Linked DNA regions of Arabidopsis thaliana. The protein of the gene in region 2 purifies or fractionates together with the protein of the main gene of each other region. This does not show direct contact. Each region holds a gene or a part of one and is shown on either strand. Other genes may lie near its edges. The genes, in order: AT2G20450, BBC1, AT1G26880 and AT1G67430.

The links.
Region 1: the proteins of BBC1 (region 2) and AT2G20450 fractionate together in Arabidopsis thaliana (co-fractionation; one large-scale study listed by BioGRID). This does not show direct contact.
Region 3: the proteins of BBC1 (region 2) and AT1G26880 fractionate together in Arabidopsis thaliana (co-fractionation; one large-scale study listed by BioGRID). This does not show direct contact.
Region 4: the proteins of BBC1 (region 2) and AT1G67430 fractionate together in Arabidopsis thaliana (co-fractionation; one large-scale study listed by BioGRID). This does not show direct contact.

Annotation. Positions count from the first base shown.
Region 1 is NC_003071.7:8,810,371-8,817,941, forward strand, and holds AT2G20450 (Ribosomal protein L14), read left to right. Parts: upstream 1-3,461; 5' UTR 3,462-3,552; coding exon 3,553-3,555; intron 3,556-3,708; coding exon 3,709-3,810; intron 3,811-4,032; coding exon 4,033-4,162; intron 4,163-4,262; coding exon 4,263-4,375; intron 4,376-4,644; coding exon 4,645-4,701; 3' UTR 4,702-5,009; downstream 5,010-7,571. Other genes in the region: AT2G20440 (Ypt/Rab-GAP domain of gyp1p superfamily protein), read right to left, coding at 664-684, 775-858, 949-1,194, 1,357-1,454, 1,519-1,624, 1,717-1,805, 1,886-2,008, 2,096-2,295 and 3 more.
Region 2 is NC_003074.8:18,164,363-18,172,001, forward strand, and holds BBC1 (breast basic conserved 1), read right to left. Parts: upstream 4,339-7,639; 5' UTR 4,287-4,338; exon of another isoform or gene 3,700-4,286; 5' UTR 3,686-3,699; coding exon 3,580-3,685; intron 3,482-3,579; coding exon 3,348-3,481; intron 3,088-3,347; coding exon 2,929-3,087; intron 2,831-2,928; coding exon 2,609-2,830; 3' UTR 2,346-2,608; downstream 1-2,345. Other genes in the region: AT3G49000 (RNA polymerase III subunit RPC82 family protein), read left to right, coding at 1-18, 143-254, 413-571, 650-687, 758-850, 936-1,019, 1,113-1,265, 1,350-1,484; AT3G49020 (FBD, F-box and Leucine Rich Repeat domains containing protein), read left to right, coding at 4,717-4,730, 4,806-5,688, 5,769-5,903, 5,987-6,298.
Region 3 is NC_003070.9:9,313,408-9,320,668, reverse strand, and holds AT1G26880 (Ribosomal protein L34e superfamily protein), read left to right. Parts: upstream 1-3,788; 5' UTR 3,789-3,987; coding exon 3,988-4,066; intron 4,067-4,189; coding exon 4,190-4,269; intron 4,270-4,507; exon of another isoform or gene 4,508-4,654; intron 4,655-4,739; coding exon 4,740-4,849; coding exon of another isoform or gene 4,850-4,871; exon of another isoform or gene 4,872-4,935; coding exon 4,936-5,029; 3' UTR 5,030-5,364; downstream 5,365-7,261. Other genes in the region: AT1G26900 (Pentatricopeptide repeat (PPR) superfamily protein), read left to right, coding at 1-913; AT1G26890 (FBD, F-box and Leucine Rich Repeat domains containing protein), read right to left, coding at 1,591-1,713, 1,800-1,937, 2,016-2,225, 2,292-3,080; FEZ (NAC (No Apical Meristem) domain transcriptional regulator superfamily protein), read right to left, coding at 5,686-6,450, 7,042-7,261.
Region 4 is NC_003070.9:25,258,468-25,266,058, forward strand, and holds AT1G67430 (Ribosomal protein L22p/L17e family protein), read left to right. Parts: upstream 1-3,666; 5' UTR 3,667-3,741; coding exon 3,742-3,744; intron 3,745-3,853; coding exon 3,854-3,890; intron 3,891-3,974; coding exon 3,975-4,015; intron 4,016-4,106; exon of another isoform or gene 4,107-4,239; intron 4,240-4,447; coding exon 4,448-4,678; intron 4,679-4,770; coding exon 4,771-4,873; intron 4,874-4,957; coding exon 4,958-5,025; intron 5,026-5,115; coding exon 5,116-5,160; 3' UTR 5,161-5,390; downstream 5,391-7,591. Other genes in the region: AT1G67420 (Zn-dependent exopeptidases superfamily protein), read left to right, coding at 21-80, 169-287, 418-542, 697-921, 1,016-1,176, 1,269-1,578, 1,662-1,891; emb1688 (Minichromosome maintenance (MCM2/3/5) family protein), read right to left, coding at 5,438-5,633, 5,732-5,916, 6,003-6,197, 6,281-6,499, 6,578-7,255.

The DNA.
Region 1 (7,571 bases), on a different chromosome or scaffold from region 2:
TCAAATGAATAATCATTAACATTAATTTTCTTTTGTCTCTCTCTGTTTTTTTTTTTCTTTTCCAAATCTTAGTAAACTTCAATGTATGTAGAGAATGTGTTAATTAAACTCTTAAATTAATTTAGAAAATGGTACAAAAACATGAATTTTCTTTTATTCTCACACATAGATCACATAAATTAATAAATGTGTGAATTATATGCTGTAACACAATTTTTTTTGACGAAAATATTCTCTCAATTTTTGTATGTCTCTATGTCATTTGCTATTAGCAAATAAAAATATTAATTTACTTTAATTAAAAAATAATCATTATATACATTTAACGATTTTTCTTAAGATTATACATTCATGCAAAACAGAAAAATGTGAAAAAGAAATATCACCAAGAGTCAAATAATGTAAGGAGAGGTTAGTGGCCCGTACGTAGTTCATTCGTATAACTGAAAAACGGCACACATTTTACCACAAAATACATAGAACATCAGAAAATGAACAAATTAAAAAAAAAAAAAAAAATTATTCAGCAGAGGATTCTCATCAATCTCCTTCCAGAACCTTTCAAGAAAATTTCTGGCCGGCAATGAACAATCTTCTGATCAAAAACTGTATTAGTATATGTTTGATATATAAAGTCGTCGAGTAGAAGTTTTGAGCAAATCTTTATTGCTTATTACTATTAGCCTGCAAGAAACACACAACAACACCATCTGCATTAGTATAACTGTATATCATATTATATCTTCCCCAAGTTATAGTGATAGTGAAAGAAACCTTTTTCAGGAATTTTTCATGGATCTTCAACGCTTCTTTACATGCTTTTTTGGCGTCAAGATTACCCGCAATGTCTCCTAGTATCTGCATACCAACTTTAACTTTGAAGTTCCAGAGTTTGATTTTTCCTTGTTTGGCTTTGAGAGAAACGAGTGAAAAGATACAGAGACAGACCTGAACAACATCGTCTAAGCCTTTGGCCTCCTTCAAGAGACGTTTGTTCTTTGTCTGTAGAACGCTTGCGACCACAAAAACAGCAAGCGTGTTGCGATGTTGCTCGTTCTGCCCACTGTTTATGTATTTCCTTTCAAACTTGCCATACCGTTTTAGTAACTTGGGATCGGATGCTGCGTTGTTTCGGTTTTCTAGTTCCTCGTACGTTGCAAACATGGTTGGATTGTACTCCATCGCCCACATCAGCTGCAACCATAATCCATCTCACATTATTCTCATTACCCAAACAGCAGATAACGCAAAAAAGAAGAAGATAATAAACACACAGCAAGATCTTACGGCTTCATAAACAATCACGGCAAGTAAAACCAGGAACCAAGAAAAGAAATGCAGAAAGTTTGTCATTACCTCCCAAAGGTACAAAGCGTCAAGGAAAGAGAATTCTCTCCTGAAAAGTACCATCAGCATCCGAATAGCAAATAGATACTCCCCACCATCGAGATCCTCTGTCACATTAACACGTTTTAGCCCACCACAAGAAGAGTTTTTATGATAGGAAAACACTCTTACCTAGATGTTGATGGAGACGAGGATCCACTGTCTTAATGACCTGTGAGAGCACACCCAGTTGAGTCTGGACACCCATTGATGTTGCTGTTGCCCTGAAATTTTCTCTCTGAAATTCAAAGAAAACAATAAACCGTGAATACAATGGTCTGGTAATGACATGAAACATGAGAAGTTATGTCATAGGCTATTAGTTATTACTAGTCTCCGCATTGCCCGCTCAAAGCACCAGAAAGCGTCGCCTTCATCATCAAAGAGGATTATCATTGGGGAACATATATCATTCATTCCTACATGAATAGACAAAGTGGATCAGTTCTGTTTCTTATATAGTTTCAAAAGATTAATCGTTAACAGCAAGTACACTTACCCTGAACATAACCAATATCAAGATTCAACCACGTATATATGGCAAGAACGTCCCATAGTTTTGATTGATTACGATCATTCTCATAAAAACAGAGATACCGATCTGTTCTAGCAACATCAAGGCCTGAAACAAAATATACAAGAATATGTAAAAAGAGGTTATAAGAAGATAATCAGATAGAACTAAACTTATTTATATGTAAAGGCATACCGATCTGGTGTAGTGAGAGCATCCATTGTAGCACTCTCTCATCTGTAACAGTGTTTTTCACGATCCATCCTTGGTTTTCTACAGAAGATTCGTCTATTGGGTTCCCATTTTCTTGAACGACTGCCATTGTGACGTACTTGCCACTACCAATGACAGGAACCATTTTCTTACATTCTTCTTTCCATGCACCGTACTGCTCCCTTAGATGATCAATAACATTTAAAGTTAGCCATGACGTGCATCTACAAAACTAGTAAATGATCAACCAATTCTATAGTACCTTCTGCGATTCCTCAGTATGTTCCTTTCCTCAAAAGTGCTGTCTGGATCGTAGCATCCTAACAAAAACTCCCAAACAGCGCCTTTGATGGAAGGATGAATTCCCTAGCAAAGAAACCAAGTGAACAACAACAAAAAGAGCATATAGATAGAAACAAGATCAGGAAAAGAAAGTAGACTCACTCCGCGCTGTATACGTCTAAGCACTTTTTCCATATCCAAATGGCCATCTTCAGTAAAGGCAGCGTGCCATCTTCTAGCACTTAGAGTCTTTCCAGCCTGACAAATTACATATCAAGATGAATCATTTCATCAGCTACAAACAAACAAACAAGAACCTAATGTATCATCAATTCATCAAGACATGAAACAGGTGATTGAGAAGAAGAATGGTACCCTTGATTTAAAACGGGTCCTGGGAACATCTGGTTGACATTCAGGTCTAACTGGATAGAAACCTTGCAAATCTTCTCCTCCGGATTTCCACATAAATCCGCAGCAAAACATTCAACCTTCCTTCTTCTTGTTCAAACCAAACTTATAGTTTCATCCATCTCCCACATAAATCATTCATGGATTCATCAGACCACTGTTCAAGAAATAAAACCCAGGATCAGAATGGAGAAAAAATGAAAACTTTACAAATATGTAAACGAAAACACAAGGAAGATATATTCTTTTTGCAACGACGAAGCTCCCATTGCTCAATAATATATATAACCTTAAAATCAGTATCAGAACACCATCATCATTATCATTTGGATAATCCAGAAACCGATTAGACCCAACAATTTGAAATTGTCTACAGAGAGAATACGAACAAAAGAAAAATACATACAGATTGAGATCCTAAACAGCCGGAATCTTCAGAGACATGCCCGTCTTCTTCTTCCATCTTTCATCTTTCATCTTTCTATTTCTAGCAGAGTACTTTCCTTTTTAACCGAACCAAGCCGATTTTATTAGCTCCGATTTCAAACATTAAACCGATCGGTTTCGGTATTCTTAAACGACGTCATGTAATCTCTCCACATTTAATGGGCCTTTAAAATTGTTAGTGGGCTTCTATATGCTTATGTGCCTAATTCTTTTATATCAAAAACCCTAATAATCTCTTGGGCACATAAAAATCTCTTCGCCGCACAATTGCTCCAATCTGTTTCTTCTAGCCGGCCAAAATGGTGAGCGATGTTCTTCGCTTGATTCCATGTATTTTAGTGTTTCTGAAAACTTTAAAGATTCTGCTATTGCCCTAGCTGCTTCTCTTTGGAATTTGTTATCTTTACAGATTTATATAGTTTTTAACCTCGAGAACTTTGTGTTTGATTGTGAAGGGTTTTAAGAGATTCGTGGAGATTGGGAGAGTGGCGCTCGTTAACTACGGCGAGGATTATGGAAAGCTCGTGGTTATCGTCGATGTAGTCGACCAAAACAGGGTAACTTGATATGCAAGCTCTGTTTTTTTTTTCGATTTGGTATTGTAATCAATGTAACTATCTTCTTATTGCTCACTGAAATATATATTGATACAATAGTTATGATGCTAGGAGTAGAATTTGTATGCTTAGTTTAATACTTGTGGTTTTGGCTGAAGCTAGGAGTCTTTGAAATGGTTTATGTTTTGTCTAAAGTGTTTCTGTTTATCTTGTCCTTTTTAGGCACTTGTGGATGCCCCTGACATGGAGAGAATCCAGATGAATTTGAAGAGGTTGTCTCTTACTGACATCGTCATTGATATCAACAGAGTTCCCAAGAAGAAGGTTTTGATTGAGGCAATGGAGAAGGCTGGTGAGTTTGTTGTAGCATACTTTTGATTATTCGTAGGTTTTATTGGCCTTTTTTTGTTGTTGGTTGGGTTGGGTCATCTTAGCTCTAAAGTTATATGCAGATGTGAAGAACAAGTGGGAGAAGAGTTCATGGGGTAGGAAACTTATTGTGCAGAAGAGAAGAGCTGCCCTCAATGATTTTGACAGGTTCAAGATCATGTTGGCCAAAATCAAGGTTGGTTTACTTCTTTGTATCCACCAATGTTGTTTTAGTCAACTCTACTTTGTGCAAATGCAGATGAGTTTTCACTGCTTCATTTGCCCTCACTTTCGGTTGTGGTTTAGAAATAATACTATCTAAACTTTAAACTGTATCTACTACTACTACATTCACCATCTTCTTGGGTTTATGATCTTTGGTTTGATACTGGTTTGTTTTGGATTGTATTAAGACGCATCTTAGTGTTATTGAATAACCTCTAATATATGAATATTGTTTTGCAGAGGGCTGGTATTGTGAGGCAGGAGCTTGCTAAGCTAAAAAGGGAGATCGCTGCTTGATTTCTTAATTATGATCCATTACCAAATCTTATTTTTGCAACTGTTTTTTTAGTGCAAATTATGACAAGTTGAGTTTTTTTTAGTGCAAATTATGATATCAATTTTGCTGATTCCGGGCTACTAAATAGTGAATTTTTTTTGCTATCGGATATTATTATTTTAGTTTAGTTTTTCTTTCTAAAGTCTTGGTCTGATTGGTCTGGTCATCTTTTTAAACCACCTATGAACTTCGATCTTTAGTAGATGCAGTTTTTTCTTCTTCGTTTAGTTCGCATATCTTCAAAAATCTTACAACCAAGTAGAATCTTAGCTGCTGAATATTTGGACATTTGCTTACTTTAGAGGCCAAATTGTTACGTGATGTTGCTGTTGCTATGAGGAGAACGAAATTCTCTGAATTGAAGAAAAACGATACATATTTATAGATATTGTTGTGTTGTTGTGTCGCCGGTTAACAGACGCATGTTTTGTCGAAGCAAGGTCAGAACCCCAATTCAGATGAGCCAACTTCTTCTTTTATGGGATTTGGGCCAGAGTTTAGGTTTGTTGTTACTGGGACTGACGAGCTTAGGAAAATCCCTAATAGATATGGGCCTTATTCTGATCTCCTTGTTTTTGGACTAGTGTTTATTTCCCAAGGTGTATTGGGCCTGATGAGACCAACAAAATTCTTAATGGAGATGGCCCAGCTTCTGCTTTCCTGGTTTGTGGGCCAGTTTTAGTGACCCTGCCAATTATAACATGAAACAGATGTTATAATGGAAATTTGCATTTATAACATACAAAAATATTACAATTAGGTAACTAACCAAAATAAATAGTCCAATGATATTGTGTGTATTTCCTATATTTTAGACATAAGTGACCTTAAGATAAAACCAATCAACTCGCCGGTACCGATTACAACGTCGTCACCACCACAAAGTCACCACCACCATCACCACCACCATCACCGCCATCATCATCACCGCCATCGTAATCACCTTTCACGATGAAGAAACGATGAGAGAGAGTTTGTTATAGAAAGGGAAAGTTTTATTCATCTTAATAATAATGTGTACAATTGTTTCTCTTATATACACGTATGGTATAATAACTAAACCAAGCTAAACCGACTAATTACATAGAACCGGTTATTTACACCTAGCTACTCTATTAGTCCCCCTCAAGATGAGAATACAAAGATGTTTTGGATACTCATCTTGGACAATAAATGAGCAAATTGATAAGGGAAGAGTGGTTTAGTAAGGATATCAGCAACCTGATCTTTAGTCTTGACATGAAGCAGCTTCAACTGACCATTATCCAGCTTCTCACGAACGGTGTGACAATCGATTTCGATGTGTTTCGTTCGTTCGTGAAACACTGGGTTAGTGGCTATATACACAGCGGCGGTACTGTCAGAGTATAAAATAGGCACACCTGAATGAACACGCAAAGCCAATAACAGTGTAGACAGCCACGCCATTTCACAAGAAGCCAAAGCCAATGCTCGATACTCTGCCTCTGCAGACGACCGTGAGACAGTAGGCTGTTTCTTGGAGCGCCAGGATATCAGAGAGGAACCAACAAACATAGTGAAACCTGTGGTTGATCGACGACTATCTGGGCAAGTACCCCAATCCGCATCAGTATAGCCTTTTAAAGTCAGATCATCCTCAGCAGAATAAAACAGACCTTGACCCACTGTACCTTTAATGTATTGTAAGACTTTGTAGACAGCTGCAAGATGTGCAGTACGAGGAGCAGAAGAGAACTGACATAACTTGTTCACCGCAAATGTGATATCAGGGCGAGTTATGGTCAGATACATCAACTTGCCAACAAGTCTTCGATACATTTCTTTGTCCTCCAAGAGTAGACCATCATTCTTAGATAATCTAATATTCGGAGTCATAGGTATGGAGGATGGTTTACAGTCCAACATATCTGCAGAAGTGAGCAATTCTAAAGCATACTTCCTTTGAGATAGGGAAATACCTTCAGAAGTGCGAGCAACCTCTAAACCCAAGAAATACTTCAGTGGACCAAGTTCCCTCAGCTTAAAGCTAGCTTTTAAAGCCTCTGTCAACGACTGTGCTGCTTGTTCTGTAGTACTCGCAATCACTATGTCATCAACATAAACTAAGAGGACAATGAACTCAGAACCAATACAGCGAACAAAGAGAGTATGATCACCATGCTGTTTTTCGAAACCCAGAGCCAACAGAGAGTTAGAAAACTTCAAAAACCATTGACGAGATGCCTGTTTAAGACCATAAATGGACTTCTTCAAACGACAAACAACATTAGGTGGCAGAGAAGTTCCCTTAATATCTGCATAACCATCAGGCAGCTTCATATATATGGTTTCCTCTAAATCTCCATTGAGAAAAGCATTAGATATATCCAGCTGATTCAAATACCACTTCTTAGAAGCTGAAACTTTCAAAAGTAACTTTACTGTGGCCATCTTAGCAACAGGAGAGAAAGTCTCAGTGTAATCCAAACCTTCCTTCTGAGTATAACCCTTAGCAACAATTCTGGCCTTGAATCTTTCCAAACTGCCATCTGCGTGAAACTTCACTGTAAATACCCACTTACATCCAACTGCCTTCTTCCCAGGAGGTAAACTTGTAATCTCCCAAGTATCAGTCCTTTCCATTGCACCAATTTCCTGATCAATAGCACCACACCATTCTTTGGAATCCTTTGCCTCATGATAAGATTGAGGGATTGGAATTTTGGAAATGTTATTGATGTATAACATATGAGATGGTGAGATTTGAGAGTAAGAAAGAGAAGATGAAATAGGATGTGAGTCATCTTTATTGACAAAATAACAGTGATAGTCTTGGAGATGAGCAGGGAATTTAGTAATCCTACGTTTA
Region 2 (7,639 bases):
CACCGCCTTAGACATAAGGTTAGTTATCCGTGTTTCTCTTTTGAGGTTGTTTGATGAGGAAAAAAGCTCATTGGCATTTCAAATTTTGCTTTCCGAATGTCTTACTGTTCCAATCTATTAACCACTTGTTTCTTTGTTTAAGGCGTGTGTGGAGATAGTGAAAGAGCGCCGGGATGAAGGATGTGCCATTGTCTTGAGGGCAATGTTAGAAGTAGGAAGATCGCAAGAGAAGAAGGTGAAAACAGACAATTCGGGTAATATTTGAGTTTCTCACTCATTTTCATTCAATATCTTAACATAATCATAATATGCTGAAGTTAAAATTGTATTTGGTGTGAATTATTTTGCACTCTCCACCAAAAGTCCACCTATGAAGTTCTGTTAACTGAATTTGCTATAATCTTTGAAACAGCTCCAATGTCAGTTGGTTCCATTTATGAAGAAGTTATTAAGACAGAAGCAGGTCGCACTATGTTACAAGAGCGAGTTGAAGCATGCCTTGACCAATTGAGTGCTACGTCTTCTTATCTACCAGCATTTGTGAACGAAGTGAATGATTCATACATAGTTGGTATAGTAACTCCATTCAAAATCTAGTCAAATGATTCTTGTATTCAAAATAATATTATTTTGTTATTTGGTTTTGCAGATTATAAATCCATTATCAGCGTAGCACAGAAAGATGAGGTGCGTTTCATATTTTTCTTTTCTTGATATATTTCTGAAACTAAAAACGGTATCTTTGAGATGTTTCCAGATAGAGGCAGTAGTGATGAGAAGATATGGGAAAGAAGCTTTCAGAATGTTCAGATACTTATCACAGGAAGGGCGTTTTGTTGAGACCGATAAGGTTAATGACTGTTCTTTATGATTCATATAGAAACATCTTAAGTCATAATGATTTCTTAACTTCATCATTTTTTTCTCTCTGTAAGATTGCTGATGCCGCGCTGACTGAAAAGAAAGATACACCGCAATTCCTTTTAAAGATGTGGAAAGACGGATACTTACATATGCAGGTATTCACAGTTTGGAAACCAAATCATTATCAAAAGTAAAACGAATTGGTTGTTACGAGATTCATTGTTGTTATCTTCTGTTCATTTTTGTAGAAATTGGCGGTCACAGCTCCGGGTATGTATACACCGTTTCTGTTGTGGAAGGTAAACAAGTTGATTGTGACAACTCAAATGTTGGATGAGATGTACCATGCGTCCCTTAACTTGAGTCTTAGGTTGGCCCATGAGTTAGAAGCCGAAAAAGAGGTTAGTCACACTGCAAATCGATTAACCCAAATGTGTTTCAAGATGGTCCAGATACTAAAAAAACTGTTATTGCTTTTGTGGCAGTTGCTGTTGTTGCCATTAGATAAACTGGAAGGACCATTAAAGGAGAGACTGAAAAAGGTCAAAGCCAAGAGGCTGTTACTCTCTTCCACTATGTTTAAACTTGATGATGCCATTATGCTTTTTCATGACTTTTAAACTCATACATTCAAAAACTAATTTCTTTTGGTCGATTTAGTTCACATTGTCTTCTAGCATTTTTTTTTTTTTTTTTGACATAATGAGAAGTTGTAACTTTGAAGGTAATTGATACTGTTTCGAGAGAAATGTTGTTTATTATATACTTCAGATTAAGTTTTCAAACTCTTAATCTCTATCAGAAAACCTTCTTTTCCTTTACTATGGTCTATGGCTGATGAGCTTTGGGATGAATTGCAAAATCGGGTTTTGGTGATACAGAGTCTAATGAAGCCTAATAGTCGTCCAAGTCTGAGTTTGAAAAAAAAAAAAAAAAAAAAAAAAAAAAAAAAAAGAGTCGTTTAAGTCTGATTGCCTGACCTCTCAATCCTTCAGTGCAACAGCTTCAGACAGTTCATGGAAAAGTGTTCTCTTCTATCTGTCCAAAGGAGAGATCGATGGGTTTTCAATAATCCGGAAGATATGAAATAATATTGATGTAAACATCATAGACATGTTGAGAACTCTCAATCTCAGAATTCTGACATCTCTTTCCCAACCTCCCCTGCCTGATACTCCTCCACTCAACTATGAGCAAATAGCAGTTGGCTACTCCCCTTCAATATGTTCAATCTTCTATACAAAGGTTTCTTTACTCAGGTTGCTGCACCAATCCCACAAGTCAACAAGGAAGAATTACTCCAAACCATGAACATGAAGTTAAATCTACCCCTAGTAAGTTTGAAATTGCAGAGTTATAAAGGAAGCAACCAGAAGCGTCAATTGTGACCATAAGGAATCATGATTACAAAAGACAGCGTAAGGTTGGAAGATGATAACGGGTTGAACTGCTCAAATGCAGACGAACTGCTATGTCTATTTTGCAGGTTAAAGAGATGCTTTTCGATTGTGTCAATTTAGGCTTAAATTTTTAGACTATAGAGAAAAAAACATACGAAATAAGAGGAAACTATAGCAAGTAGAGATGTGAGATACGGTCTTTTCCATAAATCAAGAGAAGCAAGGTAGCAGCAAAATCAAAGATTTAAGGATAAAAACTGATGAAAGAAAAGACAGTCTGATACACAAAATTCAGTTCCAAAAGTTGATAAGATAAAAGTTTCTTCTACCTAAGAAGAACGACCTCACTTCTTCTCTTCTTTCTCAGCCTCTGCGGCTCTCTTGGCTCTAGCTCCGGCATGCCTCTTGTTAGTGCGCTCAAGGCGTATCTTGTCAAAAGCCTTGAAAGACTTCATTTCTGAAGTCAGCTTGACGAGTTCCATGGTAGGCTTCTCACGTACAATAGGCAAGTAGTCTCCTTGAACTTGGGTAGCATTAGCCAACTCTTCTGGTGTAGAGTCACCAGCCTAACACACAAACGAAAACAGAACAAGTACGAAATCAGTACCAAATCCAACAATTCATTAAACAACTGAACCATAGACCAATTGTTTATAATGATTACCTTGACCTTGCGGGCACGACGCGGGAAAATGACTAACTTGGTCTTGTAGGTTTTCAGCCTCTGGACATTTGTTTGAAGACCCTCCAAAGATCGGTTCTTGCGACGATGGTCAACAGCAATACCAATTGTAGGCGCCAACTTCTTTGGGATACCAGCAGCCTATATTAATCAAACAATCAGATCAATGTTCAGCAAGAAATGAAACATGATACCGATAGTAAAGAAAAATCCAGCCAATTTCAATCAACAATCACAACAATGTTCAGCAGGAAATGAAACACGATAGCTATATATGTAAACAAATAGATAATCCAACCAACTAAGTTCAATAATCATAACCAACAATCCCATCGATATATAGCAAGAAATGAAACTTGATAGTTATATGAATAAATGAAAGAGAGATAGAAATTACAAACCTTGAGCTCTTCAAGAGTGAATCCTTTACCGGTTCTGACCTTCATGTTGTACTTAAGAGTCTGACCATGCACAACAGGGCGGAGAGGTCCAGAAGTTGGACGAGGGAAGATCTTCACAGCCTTCTTTTGCCTCGCTGTGTACAACATAACATAATAAGACCCAAAGAGATTGTAGTGTAAACTTAAAACGAAACATGACAATATCAGAAGTGTTGACATTACTACTACTAACCAATTCTTCTTCTGGTTTTCCTGGCAGGCTGGTTGAACCATGTCTTGACATAATTCTGCCAGTGCTTTTTGAAGTGACCATTGGGGATAACATTGTTGTGCTTCATTTCTTCAACTCAAGCTGCCAAAAAACATCAATCAGACACACTTTAAATCAAATGATGAAACTTTAAACAGCTCAAGGAAATCAAATGATAAAACCTCAAACTTCAAAAACAAAAGACCATCTCAAAGATATAGAGAACATAAATAGAGTAAAACAGATACGAATCTTGAAGTATTTCAAAGATCACTCTTATTAAATCTATACTAAAGGTGAGACTTGTGACAATCTCAAACTCTTAAAGAATCAAAGTTTCGAGAGTTTGTATGCACATTACATTAACAGTCGTAATACAGTAAGGATGTTATCAAAACCAATCAAATAAACGAAAAGTTTCATCACTGAAAGTGTAATATTACTCATTCCAAGGACGATACTTTCTGCAAAATCAATAAAGCATAACAAAATAACAAATCAACGGACGATTTATATCAGATCAATAAAACTCGAAATGAACAAAACAAGGAACTTAGAAAAATCTACAGGAGCTAGCAGCAGAACACACGATGAGAGAAAACAAGCAAGAACCCTACTTATACACAAAACGAGACAGTAGCAACGAAGATAATCAGAGAGACGACAAGTAGAGAGGAGCGAAAACTCACAGAGAGAATCGTCTTCTTGCGCGGCTCTAGACTGAAGTATATCCAAGTCTAGGGTTTACGAGCTTTAAATAGTGAAGACCTAAACTCAGTTTAACTATTCGTTATTGGGCCGGTGGGCCGAAAAAAAAAAAATCAATTTTTATTCTTTGGGCTTGTAAATGTCTTGGGTTTGGATTTTGGTTTCATTGGAAAAAAACGATCCGGCTCGGATTTGATCACTGTTTTTATTCTGTTAGGGTTTTGTATCTAGCCTAGGTGATTCTTTTACTAATCAAACACAAGTGGATATAATTTTGAAGATGAATCTCGTCACCATTATCATATCTAAGCTCTAGCTGGATTCTGTGTGTTCGGCTGCGTTTGCATTTGAGGTTGAAGTGTTAGTAATCTCAAGGATTTTTAGCAAAATTGATGTCTCTGTTAAACGAAAATGGAACAAAAATGGTATGTTTCTTTGTTTCGTCTATGTTTTTTCTCGGAATCCCTTTCATTGTTTTCTTCTGACTTTTTTTTTCACAGCAAAATCGGTGGTGAAGGTTTGAGAAATCGAGGTTTAGTGAATGAGGAGGACAGGATCAGTGAGTTGCCTGAAGCGTTGCTTCTGCTCATATTGTCGTCACTTCCAACAGAAACTGTGATTGCCACTAGTGTTTTGTCTAAACAATGGAAATCTCTTTGGAAGTTGGTGCCAAATCTCAAGTTTGATTCTAAGTATCATTATCATTATACGTTTTCAGATAATGTTTTCAGGTCTTTGATTTCACATAAAGCTCCTGTTCTAGATAGTTTGCATTTGAAAGTTGAAGATAAGGATGATGCTTTGGATGTTGGGATATTGATTGGAATTGCATTTTCCCGCCATATGCGTAAATTTGTACTGAAAATTACATTGCTGGAGGAAAGCTTTGTAAGATTTCCGAGTGCTTGGTGTAGTTGTAATGATACACTTGAAATCTTGGAACTCAAGTATTGCATTCTTTTAGATTTTCCTTCTCTGGTTTGTTTGAAGTCTCTTAGAAAGCTGTATCTCTACCATGTGAGATTTAACGACGAAGAATCCGTTTGCAACCTTTTATGTGGCTGCCCTAGTCTTGAAGATTTGGTCGTGCATAGACATAGCACGACCGATGTGGAGAGTTATACTATTGCGGTGCCATCATTACAGAGACTAACCATATATGATGATTACTATGGAGAAGGTGTTGGAGGCTATGTGATAAATGCTCCTTCTTTGAAATACTTGAACATCGACGGGTTTAATGGTCTTGAGTTTTGTTTGATTGAGAAGGCGCCAGAGCTAGTGGAGGCTAAAATTAGTGCCGTTTTTGAAATAGCCAATGAGAACATTATGGACTCTCTAACTTCAGCCAAATGTCTTTCCTTACACTTAGCACCTTTCAAGGTAAACTTAAGATTTAAGATTTTCACGGGGTTTATCTGTAATTGGGCTAACATTAATGTTCTGTGTTGCCTCATGCACAGATAAAGTATCCTACTGGTAAAATCTTCTACCAGCTTTTATCGCTGGAGCTTCGTGCATATAGCTATGAGTGGTGGAATCTACTTTGGTTCATGCTCGATAGTTCTCCCAAATTACAAATTCTTAAGCTCGTCGATGTAAGCCATTTCATTAGTCAACTAAATTTTGTTTTTCTTCCAGTGAGCTCTACTTTCAAATATTTTAATTGCATTGTTCTCAGCCATATCAGTTTCCTAAAGAAGATTGTTCGGTGGGCTGGGAATGGAGTCGACCCAAATGTGTTCCTGAATGTTTGTTGTTTCATCTTGAGACATTTGTGTGGACAAGATATGAGTGGCAACGAGAAGATGAGAAAGCAGTGGCTACATACATCCTTAAGAATGCAAGATGCTTGAAGAAAGCAACTCTCTCCACAAAACCCATCGGATCTGAAGAGCTCGAGAAGTTGGGAAAGAGACGTGAGATGCTTAACGAGTTGGCTACTCAGGCCAGCCCTTCAAATTCATGTAACCTCGTGTTCGAATCCGAGTAACCTATTGAACTTTTTTATTCTAATGTTTGGCAATTGGCAAGTGTAAAACTCAACTTTACCTATCGATAGGATGCTGGATCTTGGTTACAGTATGAGGAAGAGATTCTAAAGATAATTTAAAGAAAATAAAAGGTAGAACAAGAGGAATAGAGCATAAGCAGTTAAGAGAAGAAATAACATCTCTTATTGGTTTTCTCAAATGTTTTGGAATCATAAGAGGTTTTACTTAAGACAAAAGTTGCATAGTTTTAGGATAGACGAAAGCAAGTCTGTTATAGAAAATGTTGATGAGTTTCAGATGTACACCGCGGAGACAATTCATTTTTTAAAATTAATATATATAAAACTTTGTAAATTATATCTAATTATATAATATTTTTATTTTATAGTTTACAATTGTTATTAAGTAACGTCCTGCCAAACCCGTCCCGCCAAATCCGTCCACAAAAAAAACTATTTATTTTATTAATGTTGATCTTATTTATAATATGTTTATGAATCATTGTCAAAATATTTTAGTCGTTCCGGGACGTTGTATCCACACATTTTTCGCCAATTGGTTAATATATGTTCATTTTTAAAATTTCGAATCACAAAATATGACCAACTTTTTTTTGAGATTTTTTAAAACTCTATATATTATATAATGATGTTAAATATTTTTGATATATTAAACTTTTTATAAATTTAAATATTAATAATGTTTTATGAAGTTTAAATATATAAATAATAATATTTAAAAATTAATATTTTTTGCATTTTAGGTAATGATATAATAACTCTAAAAGCAAGAATTTAGAAGAATTAAATCTTTAATTAAATATTTTTATTCTTAAATAATTAATGTTAGTAACATGACATTGTAAATAAGTTCAAATACATGATCTATTTATTTAAACAACAAACGTTTAGTAAGAACAATATTTATTTAAACAAAAAACTTTGTTTTAAAATATTGTTAACAAAATACGTTTATGCTAATTTTAAGGGATTGATTTTATACGAAAGCAAGTCTGTTATAGAAAATGTTGATGAGTTTCACAATTTTTGGTTATTTGTTTCAGTGATTAACGACTAAAATTGTTTTTTGAAAATTTTAATATTTTTAATTTTAAGTCAAGTAATCAACTTTGTTATCAAGTGAACATGAATTTTGTCGTTACTTTTACTGCAAAATGATGCATTTCGGAAGGTCAAGTTGCTAGATATAGTAGTTTAGGTCATGGCAAAATACGGTCAAATTCGATTTCATCCAAAAAATACGTATATCCGTAACTCTACGAAGCAAAAAAAAAAAACTACAAATGAATATCAGTTAAGAACAGAGCAGATTAAAAAAAA
Region 3 (7,261 bases), on a different chromosome or scaffold from region 2:
AGGGATGTACGGCAAAACTGGGGGTATCAGTTCAGCACGCAGGATCTTTGATTGCGCCATTCGAAAGGATGTTGTTACATGGAACTGTATGATAGACCAATATGCCAAAACGGGTCTCCTTGAAGAGTGTGTATGGCTACTGAGGCAGATGAAGTATGAAAAAATGAAACCGAATTCATCTACATTTGTTGGGCTGTTGTCTTCCTGTGCGTACAGTGAAGCAGCATTCGTAGGACGTACTGTTGCTGATCTATTGGAAGAGGAAAGAATAGCTTTGGATGCAATACTTGGAACTGCACTCGTTGATATGTATGCAAAAGTAGGATTGCTTGAAAAAGCTGTTGAGATTTTCAATAGAATGAAGGATAAGGATGTAAAGTCCTGGACCGCGATGATCTCGGGTTATGGAGCTCATGGACTAGCAAGAGAAGCAGTAACACTATTCAATAAGATGGAGGAAGAGAACTGCAAAGTGAGACCCAATGAGATTACCTTCTTGGTTGTGCTGAATGCTTGTAGCCATGGAGGGTTGGTAATGGAAGGAATCAGATGCTTTAAGAGGATGGTTGAGGCTTACAGCTTCACGCCCAAAGTTGAACATTATGGTTGTGTGGTTGATCTTTTAGGTCGAGCGGGGCAGTTAGAGGAAGCGTATGAGTTAATAAGGAACTTACCGATCACAAGTGATTCAACGGCTTGGCGTGCTCTGCTAGCTGCTTGTAGAGTATACGGGAATGCAGATTTGGGGGAAAGTGTGATGATGAGATTGGCTGAAATGGGTGAGACTCATCCGGCAGATGCAATTCTTCTAGCTGGGACACACGCTGTTGCAGGGAACCCAGAAAAATCATTAGATAATGAGTTGAATAAAGGGAGAAAAGAAGCTGGATACAGCGCCATTGAAATAGAATAGAGTAGACAATCTCTGGCGTTCATTCACCTCTGACCTTTTTGTTGAAAACTATATCAGCAAAATGTTGTTCAATAAGGTAAACCCCTGTATTTACTCTTTCTTTATGCTTTAAAACAGTAACTTATGTATAAAGAAAGGAGACAATTGATCTTAATGAAACAGTTTTGATGGATTGTGAAAAATCTATTTGACGGGCTCTAAACATTCTTTCCCCTTTTCACCACCCAAGCACTTCTCTGTTTGTCCTTCTGTTAATTGTTTCTGGCTGCAAAAGAATCATCTAGGTTTTGTTTCCTACTTACGTGAACAAGCTCACTCAATTGTTAATAACATGATGGTTGTTGCTGGCTTTGGGCATGATGGATCATAATCTTAGACAGTCAGTATGTGGCTACTCAATTGTTGTCATGATGCTGTTAAAAAAGAAAGAAAGAATATATATGAAACTCTATTGGTTGAACTCATAACCTAATAGTTCAAGTGAATGAAATCATGAAATGATAGCGTACCTAGTTAAACATATTCATTTTATGGGAGGAGGTTAGAAGTTGAGATGATGTTGAGTTCCTAGGCATAGATTCTAACTCCATTTGTGTCTCTTCAAGATTGCAGGTTGCTAAGAGAAAGATCGCCACTCTCTTTAAACACTTTGAGTTAGCGAGAATGTATGTCATTAGTTATTTCTCATCTTCTCTTCCTCCATAGCCTCCCCACCTAAAGATCTGTAAATGAGACAACAAGCATTCGGGAATAGTAGAAGAACTCGGCTGGTTCCATGAAGGTGGGAGACACGTAGAATCCTGATATCAATACATTTGCTATAATGTTAAGTTCATCTATAAACTAGATGCACTTGTGTTTAAGGGGAGGAGGATGGTATACTTACAGTGTCAATCGTAAGAATTTGTAGTTTAGGAGAATTTTGAAGCAAATACATAAGTGGTTCCAACCAATCTACCAAATTGCTTGGAACAAAATAAAACTCCAAGAGCCGAGAGAACTTGATGGTGTTACACCACGCAACCTGTGATTAAAAAAAAATATAACATTAGTTGGCTAAGCAACAAGGAAAAGAAGAGGATCGGAGATATGTAATCGGTACCATTGGCTTGGTCAAATACAAGTACATATGTATGACAGAAGAAAGAGATCTCAGAAACTTGTGATCGGGGTTATGAACATAGCCGAGTTTTGCTATATGAAGGCAAGAAATATTCTCTATCAAGCAATAGTCCAAAACGTTACGTAAGCGTAAAATTTCTAATGCAGGGGAATCTATTACCAAGGATCTATTGAGATCATCATCATCATCCTCCTCTACCTCACCTACGTCAACTTCCTCAACCACACCTTCCTCATCATCCTCTACCTCATCTACATCATCATCATCCTCTACCTCATTTTCCTCTACCACGTCTTCCTCATCCTCTACCCCATCCTTCCGCCGAGTAGTATTATAATGTAACTGTTTCAAGGTAGATACTTTCACGGTAAATTTTGTCAAGTTGTCATCCTTATGTCGATCCACCTTCAGGCAGTTGAGAACAGGGGAGCTTGATAAAAGGCTAACAAGAGATTCTTCGTCTTTGTACACCACAAAGCGAAGACTCAGAGTTAAGAGAGATGGTAGGCGAACAGGGGAAGAAACGTTCACTAGAATCTTGTTGGATAGACTTAAATCAACGAGCGTGTTGCATGTGTAAAGGCACTTAGGAAATCCTGTGGGTTCTGCGGTCCAGAGGAGATTGAAATCTAACTCTTTCACACCTCTATTAACTACGTTCTCAACCCACTTTCCGACATCTACGTCAACAGGACAATGTGGACCGAGTTCCACAACCAAACTATCTAGTTTCGGTGCCTTATGGAGTTGCAATGACTTTTCAATAAACCACCCCACGCTCTCGCTGTCATCTTCTTTGAATTCGAGTCTAGGCACCATCGGCCAGACATAACGCCATCGTTTAGACAAGATTGAAGTGGCGACTGCCTCTTTTGTTGGGACGTGATGCAAGATCTGCAAGAGCAAATCGTTAGGAAAAGCACAGATTCTAGTTTCGTTTATCTGACAACTTTCGGTTTCTGGAACAGTTGATATATGCTCATCGTCGTGTATAATATCCCAAAAAAAAGACCAACAACTTAAGCAACCCATAGATGTGGCCATGTGGGATACCGGATACCTAGCTAGACGCCAATGGAACTTTTTTCTCGTCGCTGGCTGTGACACAAAAGTGAGTCTATATTATAAAGCTTTTTTTCAAAAAAAAACAATTATTATACAAATATTTATTATTTGTTCAAAGAAAAAAAAAAAAAAATATATATATATATATATATATATATTATTAATGCATATAAAAAAAGAAACTAAATTAAAGTTGCCCAATTTTTAAAGTAAAACTGCAATATAGACACACATAAAATATATCAATCGATTCTCATTCTTACATAATTGTTAGTTTTTTCCCTTAAAAATCTAATCATCAAACCAAACAAAATTGTTGAAAATCCAAATTTTCTAGCCTGGTCCTTATATTTCCATTTGTTATTTTGGATGAATTTATTTTCCAATTCCCAATTTTGCCGCCAACCTTGATTAATTTCTCTACTTGGCTTGCTCTAATTGCTTGCACCACGCCCTTGTAAATGTATCGATTATGTTTTTACGTGCCATGAATTTAAATTTTTTGTTGTTACACTATTTGATAAAATAAATTGAATGTGTTTTGACTAAACGGATTATAATACTAATTAATCTTTTTAAAGTTCTACGTATAATTTAATGCATCTATGATTTCTTAAAAAATCAAAATAAAAATTGGTAATAATGTTTCTAGTTTCTGTTCACTACAACATACAAACGATACTTATTCTAATTGCAGCTAATAATAGAATTGGTTTTTACAAGTTGAATTTTTTTTAATTATTTGTACATGGGCCTTTAACTGGAGCATAATTAAAGACCAAAATGAGAAAAGGCCCATATAGTTGTAGTCTTAGTTTAGGTTTGGAGTCTCACCCTTATATTCTTCGTTCCAAACGAAAACCCTAAAAGAGAAAAGGAGGCGAAAATGGTGCAGCGTCTTGTTTACCGGTCGCGACACAGCTACGCCACCAAATCGAACCAGCACCGTATCGTCAAGACTCCAGGTCCCTTTCTTCTTCTTCTTCTTCTTCCTTGATATCTTCAATCTCCTCTGCTTTAGTCTCATAATTCTCTAATCACCGATCTGTTCTTCATAGTGTAATGTGTGTTGGGATTGTTGATTTCAGGAGGTAAATTGGTGTATCAAACCACAAAGAAGAGAGCTAGTGGCCCCAAATGTCCTGTTACTGGCAAGCGTATTCAAGGAGTAAGTCTTCTGATTTCGATTTGGCTTCGTGTGATTTGGTTTACATGGTTCTTGTATCTAGAGTCTTGATTTGAGGTCTAGATAGAGTTAAGAGTTTGAATTTTTTAGGAATTTGATGGCTATGTATAACCAAATCAATCAGATTGAGTGTTTTAGAATGTTTTGAGTATTGATCAGTCTCATTTTTAATGGGCATGTCTTCTTATTTCAAGAAACCATGTTACTTAGTTAATAGTATTGTGCTTATTGACGGTCTTGTGCTGATTAGATAAATCCCACATCAGTACATAACATAAATCATAAGCTAAATTGTCGGTGCCACTTTGTCTTTCAAGTTGTTCCTTGTATTACATAAGGATTTGCTATCCACCTTTGGCATAAATTTTCAGTTTATTCCCAACTATATATGTTTGATTATGCAATGGCATATTCCTTTTGCATTATGTGAATAACTTTGTTTGTTTATTCAGATCCCTCACTTGAGGCCCTCTGAGTACAAGAGGTCAAGATTATCAAGAAACAGGAGGACTGTAAACCGAGCATACGGTGGAGTCTTGTCTGGTTCTGCAGTCAGGGAAAGGTTTGTTGTCCATCTTACTTGAGTCATCTTTCTATTACAATAAATTTGGTGTTCTTTAACGTAATGTTGTTTTTGGATTCCGACAGGATCATTCGGGCATTCCTTGTCGAAGAGCAAAAGATTGTGAAGAAAGTGTTGAAACTCCAAAAGGCTAAGGAGAAAGTAGCCCCCAAGGCTTAAGCTTTTATGTTTTATTCTTCTCTGTTTTGGAATTATGGCTATGTTCAAGTGATAGGACTTGGTGCAGTCATGTGAGGACATCTATGTTACTCGACCAATTTTTAAGCTTTGTATTCTGTTATCAGTTCTTAACTTTGTCGACAATTCTCTTCTCTTCAGTTTTGGAATTGTTGAATTCATCTTTAATGTTCTATTGTTGATGCATATCACATAAGCTGTTGTGATTACCTTCTTGGTTAATATAATATTTCTGAATCTCTCGGAGGCTAAATCAAGCTTGCACTTTAATGTTCTCAGCGTCATGACACAACTATGGAATAGCAATTTTGAGTCTTAAATCTTAACTATGCTTCAATTTTTGGGAATTCTACAACGACAGTCTCGTATGCGATTAATGAAGTCAGCTCCAGAAATAATATACTTACTGGTCTTTATTTTGAATATAGTAAAACTCGATTCAGTTTTTCTCTTGTTCATCTTGACTTACCTCATGCCTTCTTCATTAAAGCAAAGTTGCTTGTGAAAAATAAAAACTCAAGGAAGCATAATTAATAAACGATTTAATTTAGTGAAAGAGAAAGCCTACAAAGAGGAAATACCCTAGCTTGAAAAAAGCAAGCCAAGAAGGCAGAGATGGGAAAATCTATCCACATACATCAGGTTGTACTGGAGAAACAAGCTGGCAAATCGCTATTGATGGACGATAAAGAAGAATAATAACTCTCCAGCAATGTCATGTTCTGTTTCAGGTCTTGATGATGACGATGGTTCTCATTAATTGTTGAAGTGAAATCATCAAACCGAAGTGTGTCGCAATGATCACCAAGATGATCTTCATTGGAACCACGCATGTTCTTCATTATACCATTTCCTTCGAATCCCGTCTCTTGATACTCCTGTGGTAGGCTTACAAGCGGGGGACATTGCTCTTGGGCCAACACTGCGCTGAGGTCGATATGGCTCGTGAATTCTCCCAAGAAGGTCGAATCTGAAGACGTGTTTAGCAGAAACGATGGGATTTCATTTGACGAGGGGAGCCTGGGAAACTGAGGTTGTGTTTCTTGTGTGGCAAGAAAGAGATTTGTGAGGTATTGTTGGTCTAAACATGAAACCGGATTGAAAACGTTGGTGGGTTTGTCGTATGAAGTGAAATCCAAGTAAGAGAAGGGACTTATAGTGGGAACGGATGGAGTTGTACTATTACTAGTTTTGGGAGTGTTCATATTCTCATGGTGAAACTGGAAGTGAGAGCTAGGTTTGAGGATCTTGTCTGAAGAAAAATGGTATGTGTTTGATTGCTTTTGGTTAGACATTGTGTCGGTGCTTGTTTCTGGTGGTAACGAGGAAACAAAAGAGTGAGAGAGAGCTCTTAGGGTCGTTGTGTTGGTCTTTTTGAAGATTCTGCATATAGCCCATGAATCCTGCAGTGGTCCATATCATTCAAAATGTTAATAACAAATGAGTTTAATTTATAGAAAATAGAAGTCCACTAATTTCAAAATAATATTTGCACTTTGTTTATTTAATTATTTTATATTTTACTTTTGAGAAATTGTTTGAATAAACATACTTATTAAAAGAAAGATTAGTAGTACAAAAAGAAAAAAACACACACACACACAATAATTTAAGATTTAAACTTAATATCAAAGAAACATAAAAGGAGTACCTAAAATACATATATTAAAATCTCTCGCATTTAATATTTGTCAAATATGTCTTCTACCAAAAACTTAAGACTTTATTTTGCTTTCTCAGACCTAAAGATAGATATACAAAACAATTAAATCAATAAATTTCTCATTTAACTCGTTCAAACTCACTACTTTACAACACAAAAATGCACCATGTTCGAGATATGTATTTACTCTTCAAAAACTTCTAACCAAATCTTGCGATCTTAATAACTAATAATAGCTTAACTTGTCGTCCGATCCGGATAACTTCCAATCCTATTTTCTTTGTTAATAAACAATACCTAAGAAAAAATTACTGAGAGAATATGAGCTTACGTTGGGAGAGACAGGAGAGTCGAAGAATCTCTTAGAAGGAGGAGATGGTTCGGAGAGAGAAGGCAAACGAAACTCATGCATCATCCAATCAGTCTTAACTCCTTTCGCTGCTCTTCCTTTGTAGAACACTAAGGACTTCTTTAAACCTATGCATTTGTTTCCTTCTGACGAGTATATCGGCCGGTCCGTTCCCGTGGCTTTCCAAAAACCAGCTCCGGTC
Region 4 (7,591 bases), on a different chromosome or scaffold from region 2:
TTCTAACTATGATCTTTTAGGAACCATCTGATGAAGCAAGGTTTTGGGGAGCATTTGGGTTCTATGCTTTTGCAACTTCGGTATGCACTTTTTGTTTTATCGGTTATTTTACCTCAGAATTTGTTGTTTGTTTGTCTGATCGTTGACTAACCGGAGAAACGTTTTCAGGCATATTTTTTCGCTGGATTAAATGGAGGATTCATGACATTTGTCATCTCCATTTCTATGCTACTAGGGTGGATTGCTTTCTATTTGTCAGTCAAGTCCTATGGCTATAATTCGATCAAGTAAGACTTCTAGACAGTACCTAACTTTTGTGAAGTTGATGATTAGTTTAACTTGAATATTCCTTTTGGATCATAGGACATATCTTTAGCCAATAAGATCCTTGTTTATGATAAAGTTCATTTCATCCAGGTCTCCCATGTTTTATGTGATAGCTCTTGTTCCATGCCTTCTGTATTCTCTCTATTTTGGTGGTATTCTTACACTATTATTAATTGAGAAGACGGGAATGATGGGAGCAATTCCACCACCTTATGGTTAGCTTTACTGAACTCAATTCTTTCCAAAAGCATCTCTGGTTCAGCTAAACCGATTGAGAATTTTACCATTAAAACATTTAAATAGCTTGTTGTGATTGCAAGTCTGGCTTTCACTGTGGAGATGTTTATTGTACATTATTTTGGTTTGCAGGATTTTATCTAGCAGATGTAGCAGTAGCTGCAGTCATTGGAATCGTCACCGGCTTGTGTTTGGGTCCAATAATACCAATTTGTGATCGTTGGCTGGCCAAGTCGTCGATCTTGAAATTCTTGCTTCACTTCACTGTAGTCATGTTGGCGGTATCATCACAGTTCTTTCCTTATAGCAAAGATGCACCAAAGAGAGTTGTACTCCAACACACATTCATCTCTACTGGTAGCGTTTTCTCACACGATATGGAACTGTTTTCGCCTTTCGGAGTAATCTTCGTCTGCTGAAATGAAGTAAATGTTTAATGTGCCTGTTGCAGGTGGAAATGAAATCACAGGCTCAAGTTATGATTTAGCTGTCATTGATTCAAATTCTATGGAGTTCATTTTTAAGCATGCTCCGGAGGTGGCAAAGGAACTTCATGTTGGCCCTTCTTTTTCATTGGGAAACGCTGAAGCGTCTCCTCAAGAAGCTTGGATGGTACGTTCATTAGATTCGTTTCTATGTACATGCTATTGGTAAGATAGCAAGTGTTTTCAGTTTTGAAGTAAAGAATTGTTTGGTATCTGCAGGCACTTTTCCCTATTTCATGTGTATTAACAACAAACGGGAGGTTCCCTGCTAAAGCCAACAATATTTTAGAACGATATAGCCAATTCCCACTCCTACAAGCGCATAAACCGCAAACAACATTTGAAAATGGAACTCGCAGAGTTCATCTGGAGCTCTCTCTGGGGTTAGTTGGACTCCATAAAGAACTTCTATTGGTCTTGTTGGTTATTAACTATTCCATTTGCAGGTCGTTGGAGGAGATTTGGGTCACGGTTTTGAACATAACCGGACCGTTATCAGGGTGGTCCTTTGCCGATGGCAAACCTCCAGGTGACACACACAGAACCTCTTTTTCGTTCTCTTAAAGCATTTACTAAAAACCGTAAAACCAAAATGACTAATCGTTGTTGCAGCACCTGAACTCCCACCGGGTGGTCCTCCCTCGTACATATTGAGACTGAGTGGCAACAGCGATGAGAAGTGGAACTTCTGGTTAGAGGCAAGTAGTGAAGAAGAAGTGAGAGTAGATGTAGCTGTTCTTGATCAACGTCTTGATGAAGAAACTATACATTTGAAGGGTCTTTTCCCAAAATGGTCCGATGTCATTGCCTACACTAGTTTTCTTTCTACTTACTTGTTCTGATCGTAGACTATTTCATATTCTCCTTTTGATATTTCTAAAACATTAGAGAATAAATAAATCCGTTCTTAACATGGGAAAGTTTTTTTTTTTTTGACATCGGAACCGCATACTCTATTTATACCTAAATCATACTAACATGAGCAAGTCTTAAGTACATTTTCTTTGTTGATATAGTAATTGTGTACATTTACTTGGTTCTTTGATAATTTATAATCTTATACTTTGATTGGTGCAACTATAGTCTTATATCCTTAATTTAACTTTATCCTTAATTTAACTTCATGATCAAAAGATATAGTCTTGTTTTTTGTTTTGTTGAGAAGTTTCATTAGCATTATTGTCTACCGAGAGTAATACCACAAATTGATAGTTTCTCTGCATTTTTAAGAGAATAAGCTAAATAACGGACCTAAATACAAGTGGTCCTTACAATTGCAATTTGCAAATGAAAAAATTTAAAAGAGTAAGCTAAACAACCGTACTGACCTAAATAACAAACACATGAAAAACCACATAAATAACAAACACATGAAAAACCAATAGAAGTGTCTGTTACAATTACAAAGTCCACGTACATGCCACGAGGTAATGAATAAGTCTAATTGCAACAAAATAAATAATATTGTTTCATATAAATAATTTTTCAAAATATTGTTTTTATTTTTTTCGTTATCTTTTGGACTCAAATATGTGACAAGAGTAAGACTCTATAAACGACAGCTATTTTATCGTGGTGCGCCATCAAATAATGTGTCCTATCATTTCTAAGTTGAGCCACGAAGGTCAACGTTTCCGATGCATACCACCAAAACTCCTCCCTCGTGGTGCACCATCAAATAATCGTCAATCCACTCGTTAATATGTGTGATGATACGCTTATCAGCGATATCAGTAGATGTTGAATCAACTCTTCAGGTTTCAATGATATCGATAGTATACTTAGCTAGTTTCTCCCCCATGAAATCGATAGAGCTTCCTCCCAAGGTATTCAAGATCTTATTGGCTTCTACATATGAAGCAATCATTACTCATGTAGCAAACTTGTTAATCTTCTATATTTTCATTACATATAATATTTTACGTACAAGTAAGTCAAATGACATGACATGACATATGATATAACTGAGTAAGTAAGAAATTACGTATAACAATTAAGTCAAATGACATAGTAACCATTCGTGATTGTTGTCTCATATTTATATATATAAAACAAAAAATGAAGTTTTAAGCAAATGATCTACAACTAAAACAACATACTCCACCAATATATACAAAATACGTACACTTTTTTTTGATAAGTAAGTAGAATTCTATTGAACCTGATGAGAGTTGAGCATAACTCTATTCTTAGACCCGAAAACTACTCACCATGTTTATTTTAGAGATTTAATGATGGATTGGACAGTTTTTAGGCCATATTACATAGTAACAACTAATTTCAACTAAAAGAATGCAAGTTGGTTAGTTTAATACAAAACAAAATAGTGAAAATTGGATCTCTAGCTCATTTTCCGATTAATTAACTTATTTTCAAAAAAATTGTGGTTATAAGAACGAATTAATCAATTGCATTTCTTATAAAAAAAAGTAATGAAGAGAGATTTTACTTACATAAAATAAATACATCTGGCCTGATGAAACAAAAATGAGTAAGGATATCAACCTTTGTAATAAGTAATTGTTAATTACCAATTCATAGTCTTGATGGGCATTATTAGAAAGCCCATTAAAAATGGACAAGGCCCATTTAAACCTAGGTTTCGCAGGGTTTATTGCTTCACTCTTATATAAAAACTCTCGTCTTCACAAATCTCACATCTCTTCTGCAGCCGATTCTTCTATTAGCCGCCATGGTAATTGCTTAATTGCTTAAGCTTCTCAAACTCCATCTCTCTTCTCGCTGATTTGACCTAGAAATCTTCTTCCCTAATTTTCTTTACCCTGTCTTTGCTGATTTCGCAGGTGAAGTACTCGCAAGAACCCGACAATCAGACCAAGTGTAAGTAAAGCTCCTTGTATCAACTTCTTAGTACCATTTCGTTGTTTTGATCTTTGTGGTAATCCTTTGGTTTTGATTTTGCAGCTTGCAAGGCTAGAGGATCCGATCTTAGGGTTCACTTCAAGGTATGTATAGCTCTGTCAATTGTCATTTTGATTATTCGATGTAGTTAGATTTATGATTAGGAGATTGTAGTTTTAGGTTAAACCTGATTGAGAAAAAGCAGAGTTCTGTTGCAATTTGACAGATCTCACGTATACTTCAGGGAAATTGAATTGGTCATCGTGATTGGGTGAATCTATGTTTATATATCTCATAACTATAAGATTCAGTACATGATGGTACATTGATTTATCATTTCACTTTTTGAGGCTTGTTTATTTTTAGGGCTTTTGGTTAATCGCTTAGTATTGCTTTGTTATTGTTCTTATGTGAACCTATGTAGAATTTTAGTGACTTGTTGTTTTGGTTAGTGATTCCACATAATTAATACTGTGTTTTTGAATTTGTTGGTTGGTTCTTATTGTGTTTTGTTTTCTTCGGATTGTGTGAAACAGAATACTAGGGAAACAGCGCACGCAATCAGGAAGCTACCATTGATCAAGGCGAAGAGGTACCTTGAGGATGTGATAGCTCACAAGCAAGCAATTCCCTTCACACGTTTCTGCAGAGGTGTTGGGAGAACTGCTCAAGCTAAGAACAGGCACTCTAATGGTCAAGGACGTTGGCCAGCCAAGTCTGCTCAGTTTGTTCTTGATTTGCTCAAGAACGCTGAGAGCAATGCTGAGGTGAGACGAGCATTCATTTAATTAAGGAAACTTTTTCTTGTTTCTCTCTGTACCCTTTTGCTAATAAGCATATTTTGACTTTGAATGTTCAGGTGAAAGGTTTGGATGTTGATGCCCTCTTCATATCACACATCCAAGTGAACCAGGCCGCAAAGCAAAGGAGAAGGACTTACCGTGCTCACGGAAGAATCAACCGTAAGTTTGAGATTTTGTAAATCACTTACATTGATAGCTTTTTGTAATCCATTGTATGACTCAGTTTGTCTTTCTTGGTTGCAGCTTACATGTCCAACCCATGCCACATTGAGTTGATTTTGTCAGAGAAGGAAGAGCCTGTCAAAAAAGAGGTAATATATATTTCATCTCATTGGAAAAATTCAGGACTAGTGTTAATAACAACAGTGTTCTCATTTCGTATTTGTTTTTGATAATTGTAGCCGGAGACTCAGTTGGCTGCCAAGTCCAAGAAATCAGCAGCTTAAGCTTTCTTTCTTTATTTTCATGTCCCTTGTGTTCTTGAACGAGATTTTGTTCTCTTTTTTCTTTAGCTCGAATCGTTTTGTAAGACAATGGATAGATTTATCTTGGAAATTTTCGTTCTATGACTTATGAAATCAGTGATCATGGTTCTGCAAGTTTTGGTTAGTTCGATAGTTCGATTAGTCAATAATTCAGACAAACAAAAGAGCTGAGAACTTAAAAAGATCTGTACAATCTTTTACATCATGTGACTTAGTTATAGTGGAAACTTGAGTTCTCTCATTGTCTTTTATTCTCATTCTCAATGGCTTGGACGATTGGGTCGTTCTCTATGTACAAATCACTGTCTTCATCTTCGAACTCATCCAGCTCACTGATCATTGTCTGTTTCGTTTTCTTCCTTGACTCTCTCCTATGCTTCTTAGGCATTAACCGTGGTTCAGCATGTTTCACACCCATGTCTCCCACCTTGTACCTGTGTCAAGTATCATTCCAAAGTAAACAACATTAGTGACTGCGACCAATCTCAATCTAAAAATAAAGCTGTTCTTTCAGGAGAAATCCCAACAATACCTAACATCATCTTCCCTTTTGGTTCCAAAAGTCCTAAGCTGAAATTCTTCCCTGATTCTGATCTCATCAAGCAATTGTAAGTAGTAAGGATACCTTTCCCAGTCACCTTTCACAACACATCCTGGTTCCCCAATATGCAAGCAGTCTCTGAATCCACATTTTTCGCTCTCAATCATGTTCCGTATCTAAAAGAAACAATTAAAAAGTAACACATCGTCACAGTCAGCCAATAAGGGAGATTGGCACAAGCAAAAGGGTACAAAGAACAAACCTCAGGAAAACAGTGAGCTAGTGAATGCTTCGTTACTTTCAGCAAACTAGGCTGGTTAAAGCCAGGAGTATCAGCGAGGTAACCACCTTCAGAAACCGGCAGTAGCGATACATTTCGTGTTGTATGTTTACCTCTACCACTTCTACTCGAAACTTCCCCTACTCGCTGATCATCAAACCACTTATTACCTAACATCTGAATATCACAAAAGCTCAACTCATAAGAATCTGGCAAACAAAACTTAAGCTGTAAAATGAAATAACACAAAAGAACCTTACAGGCTCAAACCAATTCTCATCTTCCACCACACCACCACCATGATTACTCCTCAATACGTTGATTAAACTCGACTTTCCAACACCACTAGGTCCAACAATCACAGAAGTCTGATCTCTCAGAACAAACGCAATATCATCAAGTCCATCTTTAGTTCCCACACTACAAAACAATGGTTCATAGTTCCATCCACGCAACCTTATCTTCCAAGTTTCCAATTCCTGTAAACAAGTTTATGATTCTAATCAATCCCTAAACCAACAAAGTGATCTAAAATACAATTTCTTCATCCTCCTTACCTCTTCACTAATGAGTTCAGTTTTATTCAAAGCAAGTGTTAATGGAATACGAGTAGATTCAGCTTCCACCAAGAACCTAGTAAGAGTAAACGGCTCAAGTTTCGGTTGATCCAAAGAGAAAAGAACAAGCAAATGATCAACGTTCGCAACAGGTGGATCCAAAATCTCCGAACGTCGATGAAACACATTCTCAATCATTCCTCTTCTATCAACCCAATCAATAGATCCAACAAGAACCTTATCTCCAACTAAAACTCTCCTTCGTATTTTCTTCAACACAGCTCTCACCACACAAAGCAATTCAACACCAGTCTTTGAAGAATCATTATCATCATCACTCGTCACAGAATTAGCTACATCTTGAACAATGACGCGCATAAAGTTCGCTTGAGCTGTTGCGACAGTACCAATAGCTTGAGACTCTAAGAGCGAAGGTTTATGCTCCGGCGAGAGAACTGGTGACAAGGAGGAGGAGTAATTTTTACCGATGTGCTTCGCTCTGAGCATATTTTTGCTCGGTTGGGGTTTTCTGGAGACATCGGGATTATCTCGTCTTGCTGAGAGAGGAGAAAAGCTGCGAAGGAATTTGAATCTAACTCCAACTCCGCCGTGAAAAATCGCGGTGTGACGGAGGAACGGAGAAGAGTGACGGAGGAGTGAAATTGAAAATGTCTGCATAAGCAAATTCTAGAAGAATAGAAAACTGTGTAGTGAGGAAGAGAGCAGTGAATTATGAAGAAGATTTAAAGTGATGGGCCTTTTGTGATAAGTGTTATGGGCCCAAAATTAGGGCCCATCTATTGCATATATAATCGACCGTAAATGTGTGTGGGAAGGTGTAAGTAAGTTTGAGATATTTTTCCAAGTCTTTCATTGATTTGATGGCTTATTAATATTGACATTGATGATGACTGATGATTAAAAAGAACAAATCTGCTCTTATTAATCATTTCATCTTTAATAAGTCTGCAAATGAAAGGCATCTGTACAATTAATCTGTTACACAATATAAGG